Linked DNA regions of Saccharomyces cerevisiae S288C. Changing the gene in region 3 together with the main gene of any one other region gives a genetic interaction. Each region holds a gene or a part of one and is shown on either strand. Other genes may lie near its edges. The genes, in order: CHM7, SYH1, HUB1 and SOL3.

Region 1 (8,172 bases), on a different chromosome or scaffold from region 3:
GAGTTGAAGGTATCTCTCCGGAGTTTATGTTGGAGCATTCTTTCTTCCAATTTCAAAACGTTATTTCAGTACCAGTTATGGAAAAGAAACTTGCTGAACTGAAAAAAGACTTTGATGGCATCGAAGTCGAAGATGAAGAAAATGTTAAAGAATACCATGAGATTGAGCAGGCTATCAAAGGTTACCGTGAAGATGTTCGTCAAGTTGTCACCCATCCGGCAAACGCCTTAAGTTTCCTACAACCAGGCAGATTAGTTGAAATCTCTGTCAATGGTAAGGATAACTATGGCTGGGGTGCTGTTGTCGATTTTGCTAAAAGAATTAACAAACGCAACCCAAGTGCTGTCTATACAGACCATGAATCCTATATTGTCAATGTGGTCGTCAATACCATGTATATAGACTCTCCAGTCAACTTGTTGAAACCTTTCAACCCTACCTTACCAGAAGGGATTCGCCCAGCGGAAGAAGGTGAAAAAAGCATATGTGCTGTTATTCCCATAACTTTGGATTCAATCAAGTCGATTGGTAATTTGAGACTATATATGCCCAAAGATATTAGAGCCAGCGGTCAAAAAGAAACTGTTGGGAAGTCTTTAAGGGAGGTTAATCGGAGGTTCCCGGATGGTATTCCCGTGCTGGATCCTGTTAAAAACATGAAGATCGAAGATGAGGACTTTTTAAAGCTAATGAAGAAGATTGACGTTTTAAACACAAAGTTATCCTCCAATCCCTTAACCAATTCCATGAGACTAGAAGAACTATATGGTAAATATAGTAGAAAACACGATTTACATGAAGATATGAAACAATTGAAACGCAAAATTTCAGAATCACAAGCCGTAATCCAACTGGACGATCTTCGTCGCCGTAAAAGAGTTTTGCGCCGTTTAGGATTTTGTACTCCTAATGACATTATTGAACTGAAAGGTAGAGTTGCATGTGAAATATCTAGTGGTGATGAACTGTTACTAACAGAATTGATCTTCAATGGTAATTTCAATGAGTTGAAACCGGAACAAGCAGCAGCATTATTATCATGCTTTGCATTCCAAGAACGCTGTAAAGAAGCGCCTAGATTGAAACCAGAGCTTGCCGAACCTTTGAAGGCTATGAGAGAAATTGCAGCAAAGATCGCTAAGATAATGAAGGATTCTAAAATTGAAGTTGTAGAAAAGGACTACGTTGAAAGCTTCAGACATGAACTAATGGAAGTTGTTTACGAATGGTGTAGAGGAGCTACTTTTACGCAAATCTGTAAAATGACCGACGTTTACGAAGGTTCGTTGATCAGAATGTTCAAGAGATTAGAGGAATTGGTGAAGGAGCTGGTAGACGTCGCCAATACCATTGGTAACTCTTCACTTAAGGAGAAGATGGAAGCTGTCTTGAAATTAATTCATAGAGATATCGTATCTGCTGGTTCTTTGTATTTATAGTTAATCACACACAATTATGTATTTTTATTGGTATATATAATAAACAAATAGATTTCATCAACATTTATTATATAATAACATTTTTGTTTGGGCAAGCACACTATTGATACACCCATACAACTCAATGAAGTGCAGCGTTAGTAGAGACAATAAGAGGAGTTTTAAATTCTTAAACTATATCTGGCAAAACACCACCAAAGCCAGCCAAATAGTATCTCACTGTATCTGAATGAAAGTAGATTTACCAGAATCCAGACTACCATCTTTATATAGAGATTTTAGGCCATTGAAAGATTTAAATCCCGATGGGTACGAAGCAAACATCAGTACATGGAGGGATTTCTTCTTGCAACAATACATCAGCAACTCCAACAGAATCATATTTACTATAGGGACAAGGACTTTGCAAGAATTAACTCATGAAGTTTATGGCGTACCGAAAAGCATTGATATAGCAATTGACGTTCTTGTTAATGAAGGAAATTTGATACCTATGGAATTATTCAATCTTGGTGGAATGTACACTGACAACAGTAGAAAAGGATTTTGGAAGTGGGTTAGAAGTTGGAAGGAGTCTACAAACATGTATAAAAGCCGGAAGGATGAAACAAATTTCTACTTGAGAGAAGACAAATTTATTATCAAAGCAAATTTGGAAAAAGAGTATCAAAGGTTTCATGAATTACTCAAAAGAAGTGTTTTTATGGAGGCTTCATCTATTACAGATTTAGTATTCACAAGGAATGAATTTGTGACCACAGAAAGTTTGCAGTCGTTCTTTTCAACCTATGATGAAGAAACGAAAAACGTGTTCCTGCACTTTATAGAGAATTATAAGCACATAATAGTTTCAAAAGACAATGTTATCAAAGTCATTGCCGCTGAAGTAGAAGACATTACTAGCAGGTTCTCCAAAGGCATCACAGAAAATGACCTTCGAATTGCTAGTGTTAAAGTGGGTATTATAAACATCAACAAACAAATTACAAGGCTAAGAAAAGAAATTAATGAATCTAACATTAAACTGAGAGGACCAGAGTTTAATGAGCTGCCGAAGAGAATAAGGATTGAATATAAACAGGCGAGATTACTATCTGAAAAACATCTTTCTAGGTTACTAAAGTTTCAAAATAACCTCGCTCAAGTAAGAACTCAAATAGACACCAGTGCTACTAATGCGGTTTTAATTCAAACTTTAAGTGAATCCAACGAAGTAATTAAGTCAATTAATGGATATATTGGTTCTACCGAAAAAGTAGAAGACTTACTAGATGAGATTAAAGAGGGTCATGACCGTACCGAAGAGGTCAATGATTTATTAGCTCATTATAATAAAGGTCAAGACGAAGAAGCAGAAGAAGAAATTGAAAGAGAATTAGAACAATTAGAACTTGATGAAAAGAATAATAATAAGGAAGAAAATAAGAACCAGGATTTGCACGAGCCAAAAGAAAGCAGTAGCGAGGATCTATTAAAGAGATTGAATAATCTGAAGATAAATACAAATGAAGGACCTGTGCAAGATAATGAAAACCACGATAATGAGATAAGAAAAATCATGATGGAAGAACAACCACGTTGACGAACTGAGTGACTAATAAATAAATATATATGTATAAATAAAAAATAAATATGAATATTTTAATAGACGGAAGAAAGAAAATATGTGTGAATAACCAAATAGGAAATAAACAAAAGCACATTTAATTGTTGCCGTTATTATTAGAGTAACCTAATGTACGAACTTTGGTATTAGATGCAGAATTATTGGAAGACAAGTTTAGTTCAGACACGTTTTGTCGCAATTGAGAAGTACCATTAGAAGGATACATCCTTGGGGTAGTATATGCTGAAGGAGTCATTGAATCACCACCACCTCCTCCTCCCCCGTCCGACACCATGTCTAAGCTAGATAATTTTTGTAAAGAGTAGTTGGCGCTGTTTGACACATTTGTGCCCAACCTCTGGTAACCAAGACGGGAGGAGGAAGCATCTACTTCCGGTTCTTTCGCCCAAAAAGATGTCAAACCTGAGTAAACCTTGTGTAGAAGAGAAGATTGTTCCATGTAGTCGAATGTTTTGTTATTGGCTTCCAGCGGTTCTAAGATGAGAGTCGATCTGGGCAACAGATCCAACTCTTGCAAACTTTTGAGTTCGTCATTTCGCGTAAGAGTCACTCTTGGTATATTTCTGTGGAAAAGGTAAGGTGTTCCATCATCGTAGCAATTATAGTCTAACCACATCCTTACTTTGTGTAATTTTGTTTGAGGAGGGAAAGTATTAGAGATTGTGTAACCATTGGGCAGTTTCAATTGTAGAGTACAGTAGTTCTGGGCGAGAAACCCCTTTTGACTCTTGTAACTAACATTATCAGTAACTGTCAACTGCTTCCACTTCTGTGGCTTTCTTTGCGGGTCATTAGTATTTTGAAAAACATACTTCCTCTCCAACTTGTCGTTCTGAATCATTCTTTTGACTCTTTGATATTCTTCATTGCTCTTGGAAAATAACTTCCTCTTTGTTACTTGACCCTTAAAGACTGATTGTAACCCATTGATAAAGGTTTCCCAAGGATCCTGCTCACGAGAAAGGCTATTACCTTGGATAGAACATTCGAGTAGACCGTTCTGTAATATGTTAATGCTTGGCGCCGATGAGGAGGGGAAAATGCTCTTGAAAAGCAAGCACTCTTTAGTACCATTTACTAACCTTACCCACAGTATGTTTTCGCGCTCCTCGTCACTAAGATTTCCTGGTTTGAACCACTGATGAAGCCAAGAATTGTCCCCGGCTGCTGAACTAATGTAAACGACGATAACCTGCTCACTAGTATGAGAGTAATCATGAACAACTCGATCATGAAAGAGGCTGTCTATACCTGACATCTCGTACATTTCTGTTATTCAATACCTGTAATTCACTTCCTTTGAGGGTCAAAAATGTCCCCTGTAAGCAAGTGTATAAGTATATAATTATATATATGTGCATATATATGTCCCTATACAACTACTAACGAATCTTAAAAGTTGACTATTCATGTGGAAAAAGTCCCTCTTCTAGGGTTGACGCGCTAGAGGTAAATCCATTAAGGTTCCTCCTGGCTTCGTTAACTCCGAAAAGAATAGCATGTGCAAGATGAGTTACCGAAAGAAGCAATAAAGAAAGCACGAGTACATGTAGAACAGGGGCACAGATAATACCAGACAGATGAGCCCACTTTTAAGAGTTTCAAAACTTCCACGAATGCACAGGGAGAATAAAGTACGCGCTGGGTCCGTTACGATTCGTGCTGCAAGAGGTTTAAAATCGCTCCACAATGGTCTCGCCCCTCGGCCCTTCTCCAATTACAAGCATATTACTAATACAGTTTTCGTTTCTTTTGTAATGTTCAGATAGGAGCGAAAGACTAATTTCGATGGAAATTTTTATCTTCATTTCGATAGTATGTTCAATCAGTTGAACTATGCATCTTTGGTTATCATCATTAACAAATTGAAACGAAAAGCTATCCTGCCAAGAAGGCCGGATAGAGAGATTGAAAAAGATATATAAAGTGTCCTTGTCACACTCATACAACACCTGTTGTATGTCAGGCATACGGCAAATTGACTACAGTTTGCATTTGCACTAATGTCGTTTGCAGTGTAACTGTTGTATTGAACGTGGACAAGGACAAGAAAGATAGTTTTTATCTCTTGATGTTTTTTTATATGGAGGAGAAAGCGACGAAGTCGAAAAAAACGAAAGGAAATAAAATGCTGTCGGAAAAAAAGTTAGGGCTGGTACGGATTATAAACTATCTCAGTAGTTAGGTAATATATAAGATGGCACCAGTCTTAGTACTTGTAAGTTGCTGTTGATTCGTCCCTAGTTATGAATTTGTCTCGTAACAACTTGGCCAAGGCGTCTTTGAACTCACCAACACTAAAGCCTTTTATCTGCTGCTTTACCGTTTCAAATAAATGGTCGTAGTCTAGCCCATTCCTCTCGCTCTTAACGGATCTAGTTATGCATGCCTTTAGTAATTCTTGGGTCCATTGGGAATTACTTCCTTCGTGGTGTGCAGAACTGGTTCTTTCACCGCCTGTGTTGCTACTTTGGAGAGACGCGGTTCTCGGTAGAACCACACGTAGTTTCCCATTTTTCACTTTTTTCATATCAGGTTTGAAGCTCTCGTTGATACTGTATGTGTTGTCAATATCTCTTGTCAGAATTTTATAATTGCAGAAGGATTTTAAGACTAGCGCTAAGTCTTTGTACGCCAGTTTCGTTTGCTCTGATATAACTTGCAAGGTCAAATGATCGCTTTCGTTGAATAAAGTCAGCACACATGTTTGGAAAAGGGTCAATTCAAATATTAGGTTAGTTCCATCCTGTATGATATAAGGCGACTCCACTTCGCAGTGGTGCAAGTTCCACATCGGATATAGCTCTTTTTTGGAAGCATCTGAATCTTCCACTTTATTCTGCTCGTGATAATTACGGAGAAATTGGTTCCACGTATCATCCATCTCTTGAGGTAGGACAAAATTTTTCTTTACTTCGTTGGATTGCTGAAAAACTTTGGGAATTCTTTCTCTATCAAAGATAAGTGGGAAAAATGACTTGCTGTTGTTTTCATTGTATGTCTTCCCGAACTTCACAGCAGCCTCGATATTCTCATAAAACGACAAGAACGATGCATATTTGATTCTCAGATCTGCCATAACCTCTACCGGCTGAAAGAATTGCGATAAATAGGGTTGATATTGATCTCGGTATCGCATTTCATCCTCTTGTGAGACATTTGTTATGATTCTTTGTTTGAAAAGTTCCATGAGGCTGTCTTTGTAAACAGGTAATATATCCTTAATAAATGAGGAATTTTGATCACTTTGTAAGATCGTCTTTCTGAAAATTGATCTTTCGAAAAAATTAGGAAATGTGGGAAGGTTAACGAACTTCAGTCTCAATATAGGAAGATTTTCGTTGAGATACTTTATTTTCATATCTCTGGGTAGGTCTTTTTTAGTTGTTTTTATCTTTCTGACGATGATGAATAAATGTGACTCAAAATATTTGACATACTGTTCTATGGCTTTGCTGGTACTTCCAAGTAAATTACATAAATGGTACTCGATGGAATCGGAGTATATTTTGAGGTGATCTACATTAGCTAGCTGAACTACCTCATCAAATAGCCTTTCAGTATCATGATTGGATCCATATGCTGCCTTTAACTTTTCTGAAACGGCATCATCACAGAATTCCTTGAATTTTGACAGCATATTTTTTGCTTCAAAAGCATTTCTAAACATCAATAAGCTAAAGTGTGTCTCAGTTTTGAAATATCTCTCTTTTTCTTCATCATAAGTGTCCTTCCCAATTTCTATGTATTCGCTAATAGACTTCTTGTTCAACAGTAGATGGCTTATAAATAGGTCATTTGCATCGCTGACCCATTCAGGGGAAAATAAAGATGCTAATAATGCATTCCTCGTCAATAGTACCTTAAAATTCTTGAAAGTTTCCAGCCTCGGCCTTAAATTTGATTCCTCACAGTAATATTGTCTGAGAGTTTTCATATAAAAATCTTTGGGGCTCAAGCCCTCTATACTAAAATTGCAGTTAGACATTATACGGAGCATAGGAACTTCCTTCTCTAACATTGTATTCGTTATTGGAAACATATGAATATAGTGATGAATAGTAGCGCTTACAAGGGTGGAAAATTCCCTTCCAAAATGTGACTTCATACATTCGAAAAGTTTGGAATCATAATACTGAAATATCGTTAAGGTCTCAAATCCTAGTTCTTTTCTTATCATGGGATAATTTACCGGCACATACGATATAATAGGACCAACGGCACCCATTACGTACTGAAATAGCTTGTAAAAAGAGGTCCAATTTTTGGGTATAATTTCATAAGAATAGTCGCATCTGGTCAAAAAGCTAAGGACGTGCGCGTCAATTATTAACTTTGCCAATTCATCACAAAATTCTTGAAAACTCAGCACAATTTGGTGTTGATGTAGCAGCTGAAACTTCTTTTGCTTTTCGTCATTCCCATTAAATTCTGAGTTGTAAGGAATGTATGATTTCCTTTGCGTTAATTCACGGCAATTGTTCAACATCTTAGGCATTAGCTTTCTAAATTTAGCGGCCTTTTCTTTATTACACTCCAATTCTTTCACGTCAGTTTCAGTTATAGTTTCAGCTAAAGTAAGGTGAAAAAACTCGTGCAGCTCAGCAATCATCGTTCGATACCTGGGATTTCGCTCATCGTTAAATTTATTGTATAGTCCTAAAGCGTTGCTTGCACTCGTCTCTCTGCTTATAGACTCGTGGAATCCTTCTCTCTTGGAAACGCTCTCATTTATCATTGTTCCTGTGAACCCGTACGAGAATTTATACCAGTAAAAAAGATTGGTGGGTTTAATATCTTGAGGATTCCTTCAAAGTAGTCTTTTAGTGCAAAGATATCGATGATCTTCATTCGCATTGTTCATATTCATCATTACGCAAAGGATAGCTATGCGTTCCGCTTCGTCATACTTAATCAGGAATATTGAACATCCAAAAATCTCCGAGCTCACGTATGTAGAATTTTTGATGAATACAAAAGAAGAAAACACTAGACTTTTCTTTGATGTTTACATTATGTCTATGATGCTAAGTAATTGGGCACTCTCCCCTCGATATGTGGGACAGCGAAACCTCATACATTGCACCACTTTATTTCACACACTTA
Region 2 (4,870 bases), on a different chromosome or scaffold from region 3:
TTTTACCAGACTTATCTTCAATTATAACGGGAGAAAATAACGGGAAATCCACAATCCATGAGGCAACATCCTTATTGACAGCATGATAGATATTTTTCCCATGCTCACTTTGTAGCACCAACTGTCTCAATCTTCCCAGGGGAGTAGGATTCTCGAAAATGGAATGGTTTGGCTCTCTCGTACAACCGCATACAATGTCACCTTTTTTCAGTTTCAGAAATTTGGTTATTAGATGTGGGTTTTCAAACGTGGCAATTGCATGAAAATTCTCAAACCAATTTGAATTAGCTTGTTCGTCATTTTCAATTGGTAGCACTATTGGAACTCTATAATTGTAATTACTGTTATTTGTCAGAAACGACCATCGTTCTTTGTACTCTTCCATATTTGAAAAGGCACTTCTTAGAATAATTACTTCAAAAACGGGAAATTTTTTGTTCAAATGACTAAAGGCATTGAACTCGCCTAAATTGATAATCTTCAAATCTGGCGCTCTCAAATCTGGCTTGTCAATACCATATGAGGTCATGGCTTGTTCGTAGGTCATACGAAAGATAGATACTGTGCCGTTTTCCTTTTTCGCAGGCACTAATGTACCCTTACTGTCTAAAGTCAATAATCCTCGTTTTTTGGAAAATTTACTCCATACCCCAGAAACTGTCTTTTCTATGATTTTCATGACATCTTCAGAATTAGCAAAGGCCATTTCCATATCAACCTGTGTAAACTCAGGCTGCCTGTCTGCTCTTAAATCTTCATCTCTAAAGCACCTTGCCATTTGATAATATTTGTTGACACCACTAGCCATTAAGAGTTGCTTGTATTGTTGAGGGCTCTGATCTAGAGCATAAAACGATGGTTTACCATCGGATCTCTTTGTCCTTGTTGGAACCAGAAACTCTCTTGCGCCTTCTGGGGTAGCTTTAAATAACATTGGGGTCTCGACCTCCGTAAAATCAAAATTGTTGAAGGAGTTTCTTATTTCCTTAGAGATAGATGACCTCTTCTTTAAAAAATCTTGATATTTGGGATTTCTCAATTGCAAATAGCGGAACTCAGGTGGGTATATGGCTGACAATTTAAAATCCTGCATTTGCGCTGGTTTTTTATTAGATGCATTTAACACAGTAATATCCTCCAATTGCACTTCGTACTCATCTGCGTCCTCATTTGATAGCTTCCTCTTCAAAGAGAGTATACCTACGGCTTGAACCACATCCTCTAAAGTAAAGCCTTTCAACAACGATTTGTTATCAACCAACTGGATAATGTCACCGTTAGAGTCCCTTAAAAGTCCGAAGATCAAATTTTTCCCAACTCTTTTTGGCTTCTGCTCTATCCATCCATTGAGTACTATTTTCTGGCCGCTAGACAGTCCTTTTAACTGTTTGATGGTCGAGGTGTCCTTCCTAAAGAGAAATTTTTTCTTAATAGCATTGGCTTCTGGAAAGTCTGCCAACCGTCTAGTGATTGTCTGCAAGCACACCCTGGAACGGGCCAACATGATTAAAACTTGTAATGTTTAGTCTTTTCAAAAAAGCATGCACTCAACTGAATCAAAATGTTAAGAAAACATGAATAATGAATAAATGAGGCATTCAATGCCATCTATTACTTCCTACTCCCATTTTCACCTTATTATTGTACTTTGGTACGGCAGTAGCTTTCTGAAATTTCATCTACCAAACTTTGCAAGCACGAAAAAGAAAGCAAAACATTTCATTTACCATGGACGCATGGAGAAGGTCGATTTTGCCACAGCTTGCACAAGATTGGCAGTGGCAGTAAGTGATGAATCCTATCAACTCTCTAGCGTTTGACCTTCACAGTGTTAAACTTGCAGACGCGAACTCAGACACTGCTGCATTATCAAATAGCAATACTCCAACCATGAACAATGCGGCTCTTTTGCAAAGGCCCTCCTCCATTATGGATTCTATTGGCGTCCAAAGAGTTCCATCTCCTTTTGTGCCAGGGAGTAATGCGATTAGTGGAGCCAGTACTGTTCCCTTCAATGCATATGACGCTGAAATTACTGGATCTCCGCTACAAATATCTGCTAATCAGGAAAACAATAGTGCATTTAGTGCAGCATCATCCAACCTGCATATGAACGCCAGCAGCCCTTCCGTTCTCAATAAACCCTCGAGCACATTTCCAAATGTAGCTCCTTATCTCTACAACGCAACAGGGCCTGCCCCCAACGTTGGTAATCAACCCCCACCACCGGGGATAGAATCTCAGTGGAAATACATTGACTCTAATGGTAACATTCAGGGGCCTTTTGGTACCAATAATATGTCACAGTGGTATCAAGGAGGTTATTTTACTCCAACTTTGCAAATCTGTAGATTAGCAACATCTCCTGAGCCATTTGGTGTAAATGATCGGTTTATTAGACTAGGTGAATTGACTACTCTGGTGAATAATTATCAAGACCCTTTTGTCGCCTTTGATTTCATTGTTATTAGAGCTTTGAATGCTGTTCCACTTGTTGCACCAACTTCATCAGAAAAGCAAAAAGTTGAGTCAAGAGATTTGATACCTGTTGCTGATGTGCATAGTGATGATTTTACGTATGAAGAAATCCTTGGCCTTAAATTTGAAGATGGAAGTTACTATCATGAAACTCAGGTTTGGGTTCCGGTTGACGGCCGTCATATCACAAAGGTAGATCGCATACCAAAGATATCTGCATATACCGCTCCTCTATCCACGACTTCTAGTAGATCTAATAAAACCACTTCTTCCCATGAAGAGAAGGTTCCTTCCCACGAGGAAGCTTCTCCAGAGGAGCAAGAGGTTTTTTCAGAAGAGGGCAGAACTGTTTCTAACATAACAAATGAAGAGGAATCTATTGTCAAAAATCCTACTAAGCAGGAGGAAGAATCTCGAGGAAGCGAGAAAGAGCAAAATATATTGGATCAAGTTCAACCAGAGATTGAAGAGGTAGACCGTAAGGATGTAATATCCACTGCTGATGAGCCGAAAAGCAAAGATACGCCGCAAATGACTTCTGAAGAGCAGAAAAGGTTTGCAAAGGCAGAACTGATGGCACAAAAATTATTGGAAGAACAACAAAGACAAGAAGAAGAAAAAAAGAGAAGAGAAGAACAGCGCAAATTAAAGAAGGAGAAAAAATTGAAGCAAAAGCAGAAAAAGGAAGAAGAGAAGTTAAAAAAGAAGAAGAAGGAAGAAGGAAAATTAGAGAAAGAAAAGCAAAAAGAATTGCTAAATAACATTTTAACTGGAGATACAGAAACTCCATCTTCCGAAAACACCGCAACTTCCATAACCACTAATTTGGCGCCTTGGGCTAACAAGAAACCCGAGGGTGCTGTTTATAATCAGATTTCATCTGCTCTTGAAGATTTGAAGAAGGAGAACTCGTCCAAGAAAGAAAAAAAACCTAATCGTACTCAGTTAGATCGTGAGCAGGCATTAAAACTACAGAAAGAAATATTAAGCTCGGCGCAAATTCCGAAAACTCAAACTGGTTCTGCCTGGGGTATAAAGCCACAGCAACCGATCAAAGTTGATATTAAAGGAGAATTGATGAAAGACAGTACCAAAATTAACAGTCAGTCTAAAATTAACAAGGCCAACAATGGTGATATTAAACCAGATTCCACTTTTATTGAAGAGCAGAAAAAGCTGTGGGAACAAGTTCAAAAGAAAACAAAGAAATTCAACCGCGCTTCTTCACTCGATGATTTCATTTCAAGAACGCCTTCCCCATCTTCTTCGGCATTGAACTCTTCGAATACTAGCAATGCGTGGACCACGGTTTCTTCTAAGAGCACAACCCACATCGCTTCCACCATGCCTGTCGCTGGTAACCAGTCAAAGTCATATATCAGTTTGGACACACTGCGTTCTTCTGGGGGGTTATCTACCGCAACAAAAACTAAAATGAGCGATAAGAGTAAACAAATTGGCTCATCCACTAGTATCCCGACTTTAAAGGCCCGTCAAGTTAAACCGTCTCGCATCCCTGCCTATCCCGGTAACGCTTCTGTCTCTAAGCGTCAAGAATTTTTGAGATGGTGCCGATCCCAATTAAAACTAAATACGGGTGTTCAGCCCGATAATGTTTTAGAAATGCTACTTAGCTTGCCCCCAGGTTCAGAATCCAAGGAAATTATCGCAGATACCATATATTCCTACAGTTCAACAATGGACGGTAGGAGATTTGCCACTGATTTCATCAAAAAACGTCTAGAATGCGAAGAAGAAATTAATGACCCCTTGAGCTGGAGTGAAGTATTAGCTATGCCTGAAGGCAGTTCCGAAGACTGGGAATTTCAAGTTGTTGGTAAAAAGAAAGGAAAAAGATTTTGAAGCCTTTTTGTTCCATAGTAGTTGTTTACTACGCGTGTATATCTTCTATTCAATGTATTAACTAGTATAACTCCCATCTATTTGTATAATTAATTGAAATTAAATATCTTGATAACTAATAACAGTACTAAGAACGCTACAATAATATGTTAGCGTGTGCAAACTACCTATAGCTAGTATATCGATTAAATGTTTGAAGCCACATGAATTGAGAAAGGTAAGCACATTTTTCAAATTGCAGAACGTATCATTTAGCGAATCTATCGTCTGTTTGAAGGTTCTTAATGGAGATGAGAAGTGTTTAAGTTGGTTGAGCGCATAATCATTTGTTACGTGTATTTCTTTTCTTTTTTTCTTTTTTTTTTTCGAAGGCAATGAAAAAAGAAATTTAACGAAGATGATTCTAGAAGATTCCTTTTCCAAAGAGCACTACTTGTCAATATAACCTTAGTGATAAAAGTTACTGTCCATTTTAAACTCCCTCTGTCTTGATTTTTCTTCTTATAACTCAGTTAGTTCTGATTCTTAT
Region 3 (5,086 bases):
CTACACGTAGAGTTAAGGTTTTTATATCCGTTGTATACCTACCACTGCTATGTATGTTGAATCATGTTTGTGTGGATAGTCTACACACAAAGCTTGATAATGCCATACGAATAAGGTGGTCTTGCAAACTGATTCTTCGTAAACTCTGTAATTAACATTTTGTTTCAATCTCTCACTTCGCTTAAGACCAAATAATCTCCTTGAAAGAAAAGAAAACTTAAAAGCATGCTTTTCTCTTAGCGGAAGCCATAGGTCCAAAAGGGAAATATCCACTGTGGTTGTTATTATTTTTTTCTAAAGGGTTATTGTATATATTATATATGTTGTATGTTATATATGCACACTACGTCACTAAGATGACTTGTTTTATATAAAGTTACTTCTCGAGAAAATTCAAAAACATAGGGTGATTTATTGCGATTACTAAAGGGAAGGGTGGGGATAGAAAGAGCTAAAAAAAGAAAATGGTTAAGGTTAAATCATAGTATTGTCATTAGTTGTCATTATCATCAGAAAGAAAAAGAACCCAAAAAATTAAACACCTACTCAGTCAAATTCTCATCATCATAAAACTTGTACTTCTTCTTAATTACAAAGACATCTTTCAAAGCATCGTCGTCTACAAACCATGAAACACGACCGGCGGCGCCCTCATTGACAATACTACTAGGCAATCCCTTTTCAGGCCTTTCCATTATTGTCTTGATTACAGGCGCCTTTGTGGCGCCCTCTACAACAAAGGTGACTCTATGAGAGTGACAAATCACTGGGATGGTCAGTGAAATCCTATTCGAAGGTCCGCTGGGTGCATTTTCTACAGGTATGACCCATGCCAGATTTTCACGTAGATTCTCTTGAAAATTGGGGAATAACGAGGCTATGTGACCGTCAGGAGCGCAGCCAAGCAGAAACAGATCAAACATCGGTAGTTTCACAGAATCTCTACCGGCAAATCCTTTAATTAGAATTTTCTCATAGTTATCTGCACACTCTTGAGGGTCGTTAATCAATGACTCATCAATGTGATAAATTTTCGGAGTTCCGTACTTCTCCGTATCTATTAAATCGAATATTTTTCTCTTAGCAAGACCGTAATTGCTTTCACTGGAGCTAAAGGGCACTAGTCTTTCATCAGCAAAGTAAATGTCCCATTTACCCCATTGAACGTCGTCTCTTTTCAACAATCCTTCGTGCAACACTTGGATTAACGAACCACCGGACAACGCAATCTTGAAGCGCCTTTCTTTCTCCTTTTTCAATTTCTTAGTGGCGCCGTCTTCACTACCACCACGGCTGGAGGCATTACTCCTTACAGAATTTACTCTCTCCATCGTTTTGGATTCTGTGTTACCATTTCCGTTAAGGCTCGTTCCGGACATCTGTGTGGACCTTGAGACTTTGCCCTTCTTAAGGGCAGAGTTTTGTGCGTGAATAACATGATCGGCAACTGCCTCAGCTACTCCTGCAAATTCATGGAATGCAAACACTTTAGGTACGGTTGTTGTCATCTTGCAAAAAATTATTCCAGTTAAAATCTATTTTCTCGGGCCTCTTTTATGTACTAAAATGTTATAATATCTATTATCTTATGGTTTGAAAGAATTCTGCTCCGTCAAGCATACATTATAACCTATTGATAAGTAAATTGGAAGGAAAGTCTTCCCTAAATGACCATGCTTTAACTTTTTTCCAATATCCTTTTCCAGGGTTTTCCACGGCACAAAACGTCATTTTCCTAAAGCGAAAAAAAAAAAAAATTCTGCATCGTACAAGAATAGTATATTATTCTAAAGAAAATGTTTGCATACATATCTAATAATATACAAATATCTACATGAAAATTTGTAAGTTGCTCTCCAACTTGTTGTACATTTCCTCTAGTTCGCCATCTAGTGTGCTTAAGACTGTTATGGCCCCCCCTGCACCGAGTTGCCAGCTGGTTCCGCCGTTGTAGGAATACATACATCTAATGTTAACAGACCAATCTCCGTTGGAATTCACAGACCAATATCCCGTGACACCGCTGTAAACACCACGTGCTCCACCATTGACATGTTTGTTTAGCTTGCTTTCTATCTTGTCCTGCAATAATTGCACAGTAATCTTCTTGGGGGCTCCCGTCATAGATCCCGGAGGAAGCGAGTGTTTAAGGACATCAATGCCTGAATATCTCGTCTTCTTACTGGCAGAGGTCAATCCATGTGCCTTTACGACGCTAACGAGTTGGTAAACGGTGGCATATTCTTGCACGGACATGAACTCCTCCACCCGAACGTCAGGAACCAACTCGTAAAGGTCATTTCTGATTAAGTCCAAAATCATTAAGTTCTCACCAAATTCTTTTGGTGTCTTCAGGATTCGTGTGGCTTTTGCCAAGTTCATTTGCGGTCCTTTTTTCACAGTTCCCTTGATGGGACGTAGCTCGCATGTGTCTGCATCCCACTTCAAAAACCTTTCTGGAGAAGTACTTAAGAAGCACAAAACTGGAGGCGTTTCATCTTGGCGGGGAATAATGTCTTTAAACTCAAAAAAACTTGAAAATGGAGCCGGGTTTCTTTGTACCAAGGTCTGGAAAATCCTCCAGGGTTCTATCACCGCAGATGGTACAACTTTGGTTTGCGTTGTGAGACACATTTCATAAGAATCACCCTTATGCATATAATCCTGACATTTCTTAAACGCCTTAGCGTAGTCAAGTTTATCGGGCATAGTTATAATGAAGTCTATCTCCTCTGGAAGATACTTGGGCCAGGACAGGGATTGCTTAATATTCTTCTTTCTAACAAAACTGTCCCTTAATGATTGTTCTAATGCCACTGGAAATGTATTATCCAGAGAAATACAATAAAGCTTCCCTTGCTTGTGATTAATGACTATACTATTGTTGATAAAAACTAGTTTGGCGTCGGGAACAAGGGAATTCTCATCATCATTGCAACGGCCGCATGCAATGTACTGACCTATTTCATAACCTAAAATGCCAACAAGACCTCCAATAAAAGGTATTTCTCTGTGGTTATCGATTATTTTATTCTCCATAAATTTACCCAAAGTGATCCAAAATTGGGATTTATCTTCATGTATTACCTCAAGGGAGCCAGGCAAATCCGAATCTTGACCATCTAGACACTTTTTCAACAAGGTGTAACTAATTTCACTATCTTGCCAATAATGAACTGTAGTCTTTTTCATAGCTCCATAATGAGTGAATACCTGGGATGCGGAGTTTGGTAAAGCAATGATAGACCATTCACCCGTATTTTCACTAATCACAGAAGATGACATGACAAATTTTTCTTCTCGTATGATGTTGCAAATTTCAAATGTCAATTTCGGGTCTTCAGAGACCTCGAACTGCTTAACGTAAGTTGTGTCCTCGCCCTTCGGATATTTCTCTTTTACCTTGTATATGGGGTCTCTATCAATAGTCCTATCCAATCGAGATAGGATATCGGAAAACTCTCCATTAAGTTTCTTCTTTTCCCACCTTCCTGTCTTCACGTTATTTATGAAACTCAACTTGAGAAAGTTACTGACTAACAGCCCCCCCAATTCTGAACAACATGACTCCGGGTGGTACTGTACGCCAAACCATGGCTTATTTTTCGTTTGAGCACTCATCAAAAGAATACCGTTCTCATCTTCGGTTGTGCATAAGGGCAAAAGGGTGTCAATGCCTTCGGCATTGACATGCAATGAATGGTACCTCGTAGATTTGAACGTATCGGGATAACCAGAAAAAAGGCCACAAGCTCTGGCTGCATCGTTTAAATGCATTTCATACACTTGCCCATGCTTGATAGTATTTAGCTCACTGACATCAGCACCTTGAGCCAAGCACATTGCTTGGAACCCAAGACATATACCCAATATTGGAACTTCATCTAACTTTCCATTGGCATTCTCGAAAAGCTCAGATATTATACCCATATCTTGTGCACCATTGTTGGGATTCCCAGGTCCTGGGCCAACAACGATAGCATCAAAAAGCGGCAAAAGTGGCAATAGCTGATCCATAGATTGGAACGTATCACTATGTACCGTCGTCACGTGCACGGCGTTGACTCCCGGTGAGATATCAGTTTGTTGTTCAATTAGTCTCACTACATTGTAGGTGAATGAATCATAAGAGTCTATGAACAGGACATGAAGCTGTTGCTGTTGTTGCTTTGTGTCAATTGTATCGGACAGCATTCCTTTATCCCCCTTGTGAAATCTCGAAAGGTCATCGTGTAAAAGTTCTACGGGAGACTTGCTTGTTTTTATATATTCGCGGTTTTGGCTGAGAGAGATGAGGAGGGAGAGGAAAAGATTGAGAAAGAGGAGCGGTGGCAAAGCTTAGATTGCAAATAAATACTCTGAAAATGATTGAGGTAGTTGTGAATGACCGATTAGGCAAAAAAGTCAGAGTGAAGTGCCTTGCTGAAGATAGTGTAGGTGATTTCAAAAAAGTATTGTCCTTGCAAATTGGCACCCAACCAAACAAAATTGTGTTGCAGAAGGGTGGAAGTGTTTTAAAAGACCATATCTCTCTGGAAGATTATGAGGTACATGATCAGACAAATTTGGAGCTGTATTACCTGTAGAAAATGCGCTGTTTTTTTTTTTTTGATCTAAATACACAATACATACATTTGCAACCGAGAGAGATAGAATATGTAGAAATAATAAGATGGCGTTGTCTCTATAATGCTTTTCTATTGTTTAGTAAGCTACAAGAAGTAATCAACATGTCTGTTAGAAGCAGATCTGGCTTGGTATACATCTGAAAATATGTACATTTCAGGGTCCGTGGAGCCATCTGCGGAGGCAGAGTCGTCTTCGAAATAATCTGCAATCAATTTCCTGTTGGCTACCGGATTAGATATGCTATCTTCTAAGGCATTGTCGTTCATACTGTTCTCTTTCAACAGTTTATTTTCAGGTGCCTCTTCGAAAACGTTGAAGTAGAATTGATCTTTACTATACAGCTCCAGAATAGATGCTTTATTGCCGCACCGATAACAATAGTTTGGCGCCGACCATACAGTAGTAACCAATCCATCAAAATATATCTGGTAACCTTCGTTACATAACTGATGGGCTC
Region 4 (7,488 bases), on a different chromosome or scaffold from region 3:
ATCAAAGAATCATGCATGGTGTTGAATAAGCTACTAGAGGACGGGACACCAGAAGAAAGTGGCCTGGTAGAAGGTGAGTTTGAAATTTTGACAAACCATTTGTCGCAAAATCTCGCCAACTACAAAGAGTTTTTTACAAAATATAATGATCTAATAACTAAGGAGGAGTCAAGTATAACATGTGTAAATAAAGAACTTTTCTTATTGGATGGTTCCACAAGAGAATCCAGAAGTGGAAGGTGCCTTTCTGGCTTGGTTGTGTCAGAGGTGGTTGAACATGAAAAAACAGAGGGAGCGTATATATATTGCTTCTCAAGACGTAGAAATGATAATAACTCGCAGTCGATGTTATCATCTCAAATTGCTGCTAATGACTTTGTTATTATTAGTGATGAGGAGGGTCATTTTTGCTTGTGCCAAGGTCGTGTACAATTTATAAATCCCGCTAAAATTGGTATCTCCGTAAAACGAAAGTTATTAAACAATAGGCTTCTAGATAAGGAAAAAGGAGTCACTACCATCCAAAGTGTGGTCGAATCAGAGCTAGAACAATCCAGTCTCATAGCTACCCAAAATTTGGTCACATATAGAATCGACAAAAATGATATCCAACAGAGTTTGTCTTTAGCGCGATTTAATCTTTTAAGCTTGTTTTTACCAGCTGTTTCACCTGGCGTGGATATTGTTGACGAAAGGAGTAAATTATGTCGGAAGACAAAGAGATCTGATGGAGGTAATGAAATACTGCGATCACTTTTAGTTGATAATAGAGCACCTAAGTTTAGAGATGCAAATGATGATCCCGTCATTCCGTATAAGCTTTCAAAGGATACAACATTGAACTTGAATCAAAAAGAAGCAATAGACAAAGTAATGAGGGCCGAAGATTATGCATTGATATTGGGAATGCCAGGGACTGGTAAGACTACTGTTATCGCAGAAATTATTAAAATTCTCGTTTCCGAGGGGAAACGCGTGCTTTTGACATCATACACACATTCAGCAGTGGATAATATTTTAATAAAATTGAGGAACACCAACATTAGCATAATGAGATTGGGAATGAAACATAAGGTCCATCCTGACACGCAAAAATATGTCCCGAATTACGCGTCAGTGAAAAGTTATAACGATTATTTGTCCAAAATTAACAGCACCTCTGTTGTTGCTACCACCTGCTTAGGAATTAACGATATACTATTTACACTAAATGAAAAGGATTTTGATTATGTGATTTTGGACGAGGCAAGTCAAATTTCAATGCCTGTCGCTTTGGGACCTCTGCGGTATGGAAATAGGTTTATTATGGTAGGAGATCATTACCAGCTACCGCCATTAGTTAAAAATGACGCAGCTCGATTAGGTGGGTTAGAAGAGTCACTGTTCAAGACTTTCTGTGAAAAGCATCCGGAAAGCGTTGCAGAACTGACTTTACAGTACCGTATGTGCGGCGATATTGTAACTTTGTCTAATTTCCTAATTTATGATAATAAATTAAAATGCGGGAATAACGAAGTTTTTGCTCAATCTTTAGAGTTACCAATGCCTGAGGCCTTGTCGCGCTATAGGAATGAATCGGCTAACTCTAAGCAGTGGCTTGAGGATATACTAGAGCCTACAAGAAAAGTGGTATTTTTAAATTACGATAACTGCCCGGATATTATCGAACAAAGCGAAAAGGATAACATTACGAATCACGGGGAGGCAGAATTGACTCTACAATGTGTGGAAGGAATGTTATTGAGCGGCGTACCATGCGAAGATATTGGTGTAATGACGTTATACAGAGCACAGTTAAGATTACTGAAGAAGATATTCAACAAAAATGTGTATGACGGGCTAGAGATCTTGACTGCTGATCAGTTTCAAGGTCGTGACAAAAAGTGCATTATTATTTCCATGGTTAGAAGAAATTCTCAATTAAATGGAGGAGCGCTGCTGAAAGAGCTAAGAAGAGTCAATGTTGCCATGACAAGGGCCAAATCCAAGCTGATCATTATAGGTTCAAAAAGTACAATCGGCTCTGTTCCTGAAATAAAATCGTTCGTGAACCTGTTAGAAGAGCGTAATTGGGTCTATACAATGTGCAAGGATGCACTCTACAAATACAAATTTCCCGACAGATCAAACGCTATTGATGAGGCACGCAAAGGTTGTGGAAAAAGAACAGGTGCCAAACCCATCACATCAAAGTCTAAATTCGTAAGCGATAAACCTATCATAAAGGAAATTCTACAAGAGTATGAAAGTTGACAGGGGGAATAAGAAGAGCTTCTCCATAACAGGAAAGCTATCACAGCATAAAATATCTATGTCATTTTATAAAGTTTGGTATATATAACACGTAATATTAGCATCTGAGGTTCGAAAGCTCGCATGTGTGTCTTTTCTAAAAAGTTTTCGTTTGAACTTTTCCAAAAGCTTCCTCATTAACGAACCAGGATGTTTTTTCACCAAATAATTTGTTAACCAATGCGGTTGGCAATTGATCGTTTTTCAAGTCAAAGATCTCATGCATTATATTTTGTTTGGAACTGCCCTCAGCCACAAAACACAGGGCTTTGGCGTCTTTCAACACAGGCAGAGTGAAGGTGATTCTGTCACTTGGAGGCTTGGGAGAATCGTGGCACCAAGCAACTCTTTTGGTTGTTTCGTTCAGCAAGTACCTATGTGTTTCTCCAGGGAATAAGGAACAAGTGTGTCCATCAGGACCACAGCCCAACAGTACCAAATCAAGCACTTGAGGTACGATACGCTCGTACTCTGCAGCAATTTTGTTGTTAGATTCAGCATCGCTGCCAATCAAGGACTCGTCCATGGGATAAACGTTTGGCTGACTAGTCGAGGGTAATTTATCTAGAACAGCTCTCTTGAAGGCACCATAATTGCTGTCAGCGTCCGTCAGTGGCACAATTCTTTCATCAGAGAAGTAGATTTGCCATTTAGACCATTGCACTCGAGAAGATAGTGATTCGTCCGCTACTAAACTTTCATACAGAGCATCGATCAAAGAGCCACCGCTAACGGAAACTTTAAAGTCTGACTTCTTTTGCAGCGCCTCATCTTGTTTCTTGACGATGAATTCCCCCAATTGATGGGTCAAACTAGCCCTCTCAGAAAACACACCGACTGTCACCATTTGGTCGCGGACCAGGGGTAAAGCAATTGATGGTGCATTGCCTTCTATTATCCTCGAGGCCTTTCCTCTTTATATAATATACCACTATTACCATTGTCGGGGATAAAAAGGTAAGAAAAAAACGGAAAAATGCAAAAGAGCAAATTATAACACCGCGCAAAGAAAATATACTTTACTATTTTATGAATATTATACAATCCGGATATATATGCTTACGTACATATCTTTGACAAAGCAAAGTTTCGAGTTGTAAATTCGGCGTTTATCTGCCCGTAGTAATTTCCTTTTTGCTTTCGTCGGCGCCGCTGAGAATATAGCTACACAATTGCGATATAGAGTCGCCATTCCGTATCCTGTAGTTGGCAATTCTACCCAATTGATAGCCAGCGGTCAGACAAAGAAACGAGTTGACAGAAGCCAACAAGATGTTTCTTGGCTTGATGACAAAGGACCAACGAGTCCAAATCAGCGCAGTAGATAGCAGCGACAAATTTTGAGCACCAGAAATTTTTTCCACCGGTCTCTTCATATCGCTGAATCCAGCGAAAACCAGACCCCATTTCAAAGTAGGAGCCCAGAAATGCACCGTCTTGGGGCCTGTCTCACTTTGCCAGAACCGCCTAAATGCAAAACGTACGGATGATGTAGACATTTTTCTTTTCTTTAATCTTTTTCTGTATAACTTCGTTTATATAATTCGTGTGTCAATTTTCTGATATAGTGAGTGATAATTCTCGACAATACGTTCTTTCGAATGAACTAATGGTTTGCCGTCTATTTCAGTTTCCTATTGCAGTCAGCGATGTCAACGATGTGCGTATCAAACTTTACTGTTTTCCTCGAGGAAAAACCTTTGTGCTTCTTTTCTCTCGGACTTTTTCTTCTTTCTTATTATATACTCAACGCTTTTCTTTTTCTTCTTTTTTTTTCCATCCTAGTCATGCGCGCAATAGGAAAGCGCACGAAACAAATGAGTAATTCGTAGGAAACAATGCAGCCCCCAGGGTCAGCAACTGACGTGACTCAGCCTGGCTTTTGTAGAAAAAGATGACGCCCTGGCAGAGAGGTGGGGGAATTGAGGGGTCCTCGCTACCCACCTTAAGTATGGAAGAATATGATGAAGAATATGATGATAACTCTTGGAAGCGAGCGGCGGGTTCCATCACTTTTTACGGATTGGTAACACAGGGGCCTCAGTTCGATACTTGGTATTCAGGCTTCCAGCGTTGGTGAGTTTAGTTAGCGGTATGGTATGCACATGGTGTTGATGCTTGGTGGTAATCATTCGTTAGGTGAATTGAGCAGTAGCGATATTAGATATATTTAGTATTTTATAGCGTCTTTTTGGTGGGGGAGGAAGGACAAAACCTGTCTCGTAAATATAAAGGGACTGTTCGATATCGCAGATACTAGAGTATAAATTTCGATTGAGGCGAGATGACAACATATTTCAAGTTGGTAAAAGGTGCTACCAAGATCAAGTCAGCCCCGCCCAAACAGAAGTATCTGGATCCGATACTGTTGGGGACCAGCAATGAAGAGGATTTCTATGAGATCGTGAAGGGTTTGGATTCCCGAATTAATGACACGGCGTGGACTATTGTGTATAAATCGCTGTTGGTGGTTCATTTGATGATAAGGGAGGGTTCCAAAGATGTTGCATTGCGGTACTACTCTAGGAACCTGGAGTTTTTTGACATTGAAAACATACGTGGCTCCAATGGCAGTGCGTCTGGAGACATGAGGGCACTTGATAGATACGATAATTATCTGAAGGTGAGATGCAGGGAGTTTGGTAAAATCAAAAAGGACTATGTGAGAGACGGCTATCGAACACTGAAGCTGAACAGTGGCAATTACGGAAGCTCCAGAAACAAGCAACACTCTATCAATATAGCACTAGATCATGTGGAGTCCCTAGAGGTACAAATACAAGCCCTGATTAAAAACAAGTATACACAATATGATTTGAGTAACGAATTGATCATATTTGGTTTCAAGCTGCTTATTCAAGACCTGCTAGCGCTATATAATGCTCTCAACGAAGGTATCATAACTCTGCTGGAGTCTTTTTTCGAACTATCTCATCATAATGCAGAGAGAACTCTAGACCTGTACAAGACGTTTGTTGATTTGACCGAGCACGTTGTCAGGTACTTGAAGAGCGGGAAGACTGCGGGCTTGAAAATACCCGTCATCAAGCATATCACTACCAAACTGGTCAGATCGCTAGAAGAACATCTGATAGAGGATGATAAGACGCACAACACTTTTGTGCCCGTTGACAGTTCTCAAGGAAGTGCTGGGGCCGTAGTAGCCAAATCTACTGCACAGGAAAGGTTGGAGCAAATCCGGGAACAAAAAAGGATACTAGAGGCACAATTGAAAAACGAACAAGTAGCGATTTCCCCTGCTCTAACTACTGTCACGGCGGCTCAATCTTACAACCCGTTTGGAACAGACTCTTCTATGCATACTAACATTCCAATGGCTGTGGCTAATCAAACGCAACAGATCGCAAATAACCCATTTGTATCTCAAACTCAGCCACAGGTGATGAATACACCAACCGCTCATACAGAGCCCGCAAATTTAAACGTTCCTGAATATGCAGCGGTCCAACACACAGTGAACTTCAACCCTGTACAAGATGCTGGCGTAAGTGCCCAACAAACGGGGTACTATTCGATTAACAACCATTTAACACCCACATTTACAGGTGCAGGGTTTGGAGGATACTCCGTTTCACAGGATACAACTGCCGCTTCTAATCAACAAGTCTCTCATTCACAAACTGGTTCTAACAACCCGTTCGCATTGCACAACGCCGCGACGATCGCAACAGGGAATCCTGCACACGAAAATGTCTTAAATAACCCATTTTCACGACCAAACTTTGATGAACAAAATACCAATATGCCGCTACAACAACAGATAATAAGTAACCCTTTTCAAAACCAAACGTACAATCAACAACAATTTCAACAACAAAAAATGCCTTTGAGCTCGATCAATAGCGTTATGACAACCCCTACTAGCATGCAGGGATCGATGAATATTCCTCAGCGTTTTGATAAAATGGAATTTCAGGCTCACTACACTCAGAATCATCTCCAACAACAGCAACAACAGCAACAGCAACAACAGCAACAGCAACAACAGCAACCACAACAGGGTTATTATGTGCCTGCAACTGCAGGAGCCAACCCTGTTACAAATATAACTGGGACAGTTCAACCTCAAAATTTCCCTTTCTATCCACAACAGCAACCACAACCGGAACAGTCTCAAACACAGCAACCAGTTTTAGGAAACCAATATGCTAACAACCTCAATTTAATTGATATGTAATATCTAGTATAATCAGGTATGTAAGGGAGTACTCAAGTGCATCTTTGGATAGCTATATATAGTTGTAAGGAAGAGCTATGTAATTTTTGCCATTTTGTACATATTTTGCATTTGTCCTATAGTATGTAATACTTACATCTTACTGTCTTCAATTCCTCCCGCCAACAAAAGATTTCGATAGCGCCGCACCATGGAGTTTATATTGTTATTTCCGAGACGACCTATATAAGGGAAAAGACGAAAACTGGGTATTTGATACTTGTCTAAACTTCAATGGACAAATGATATAAAATACAAACAATGAATAGTAACCGATGCCAAACGAATGAGGTGAATAAATTTATTAGTAGTACAGAAAAGGGGCCTTTTACGGGCAGGGACAATACGCTCTCTTTTAACAAAATCGGGAGCAGACTGAATTCACCACCGATTCTGAAGGATAAAATTGAGCTGAAATTTCTACAACACTCAGAAGATTTGAATCAATCACGGTCCTACGTAAATATTCGTCCTAGAACCTTAGAGGATCAAAGTTACAAATTTGAAGCGCCAAATCTAAATGACAATGAAACTTCTTGGGCCAAGGATTTTAGATATAACTTCCCTAAGAATGTTGAACCGCCCATCGAAAATCAAATCGCGAATCTTAATATAAACAACGGGCTACGGACATCTCAGACAGATTTTCCCTTAGGCTTTTATTCACAGAAAAACTTTAACATTGCTTCCTTCCCTGTGGTTGACCATCAGATATTCAAGACAACAGGTTTAGAACATCCTATCAACAGCCACATTGATTCTTTAATTAATGCTGAATTTTCGGAACTGGAAGCCAGTAGTTTGGAAGAAGATGTCCATACAGAAGAGGAAAATTCAGGTACGAGTCTGGAAGATGAAGAAACTGCCATGAAAGGTTTGGCTTCCGATATAATTGAGTTTTGCGATAATAATAGTGCCAATAAAGATGTAAAAGAAAGACTAAACAGTTCAAAGTTTAT

What was found.
Region 1: mutations in HUB1 (region 3) and CHM7 impair growth when combined (synthetic growth defect), as found in Saccharomyces cerevisiae (one study listed by BioGRID).
Region 2: mutations in HUB1 (region 3) and SYH1 together harm fitness more than expected from each alone (negative genetic interaction), as found in Saccharomyces cerevisiae (2 studies listed by BioGRID).
Region 4: mutations in HUB1 (region 3) and SOL3 together harm fitness more than expected from each alone (negative genetic interaction), as found in Saccharomyces cerevisiae (2 studies listed by BioGRID).

Annotation. Positions count from the first base shown.
Region 1 is NC_001142.9:344,305-352,476, forward strand, and holds CHM7 (phosphatidic acid-binding protein CHM7), read left to right. Parts: upstream 1-1,668; coding exon 1,669-3,021; downstream 3,022-8,172. Other genes in the region: ATP-dependent RNA helicase MTR4, read left to right, coding at 1-1,439; UBX6 (Ubx6p), read right to left, coding at 3,143-4,333; YJL047C-A (uncharacterized protein), read right to left, coding at 4,740-4,874; cullin RTT101, read right to left, coding at 5,276-7,804; AIM22 (putative lipoate--protein ligase), read left to right, coding at 8,082-8,172.
Region 2 is NC_001148.4:352,334-357,203, reverse strand, and holds SYH1 (Syh1p), read left to right. Parts: upstream 1-1,791; coding exon 1,792-4,341; downstream 4,342-4,870. Other genes in the region: aspartate--tRNA ligase MSD1, read right to left, coding at 1-1,504.
Region 3 is NC_001146.8:686,743-691,828, reverse strand, and holds HUB1 (ubiquitin-like protein HUB1), read left to right. Parts: upstream 1-4,364; coding exon 4,365-4,586; downstream 4,587-5,086. Other genes in the region: SOL1 (Sol1p), read right to left, coding at 543-1,508; ABZ1 (4-amino-4-deoxychorismate synthase), read right to left, coding at 1,831-4,194; putative serine/threonine-protein kinase PPG1, read right to left, coding at 4,713-5,086. UniProt on the Saccharomyces cerevisiae protein: Forms conjugate with SPH1 and HBT1. Involved in morphogenesis.
Region 4 is NC_001140.6:419,375-426,862, reverse strand, and holds SOL3 (6-phosphogluconolactonase SOL3), read right to left. Parts: upstream 3,140-7,488; coding exon 2,390-3,139; downstream 1-2,389. Other genes in the region: bifunctional ATP-dependent DNA helicase/ssDNA endodeoxyribonuclease DNA2, read left to right, coding at 1-2,253; MPC2 (mitochondrial pyruvate carrier), read right to left, coding at 3,402-3,791; YAP1801 (Yap1801p), read left to right, coding at 4,577-6,490; PEX18 (Pex18p), read left to right, coding at 6,791-7,488. UniProt on the Saccharomyces cerevisiae protein: Hydrolysis of 6-phosphogluconolactone to 6-phosphogluconate.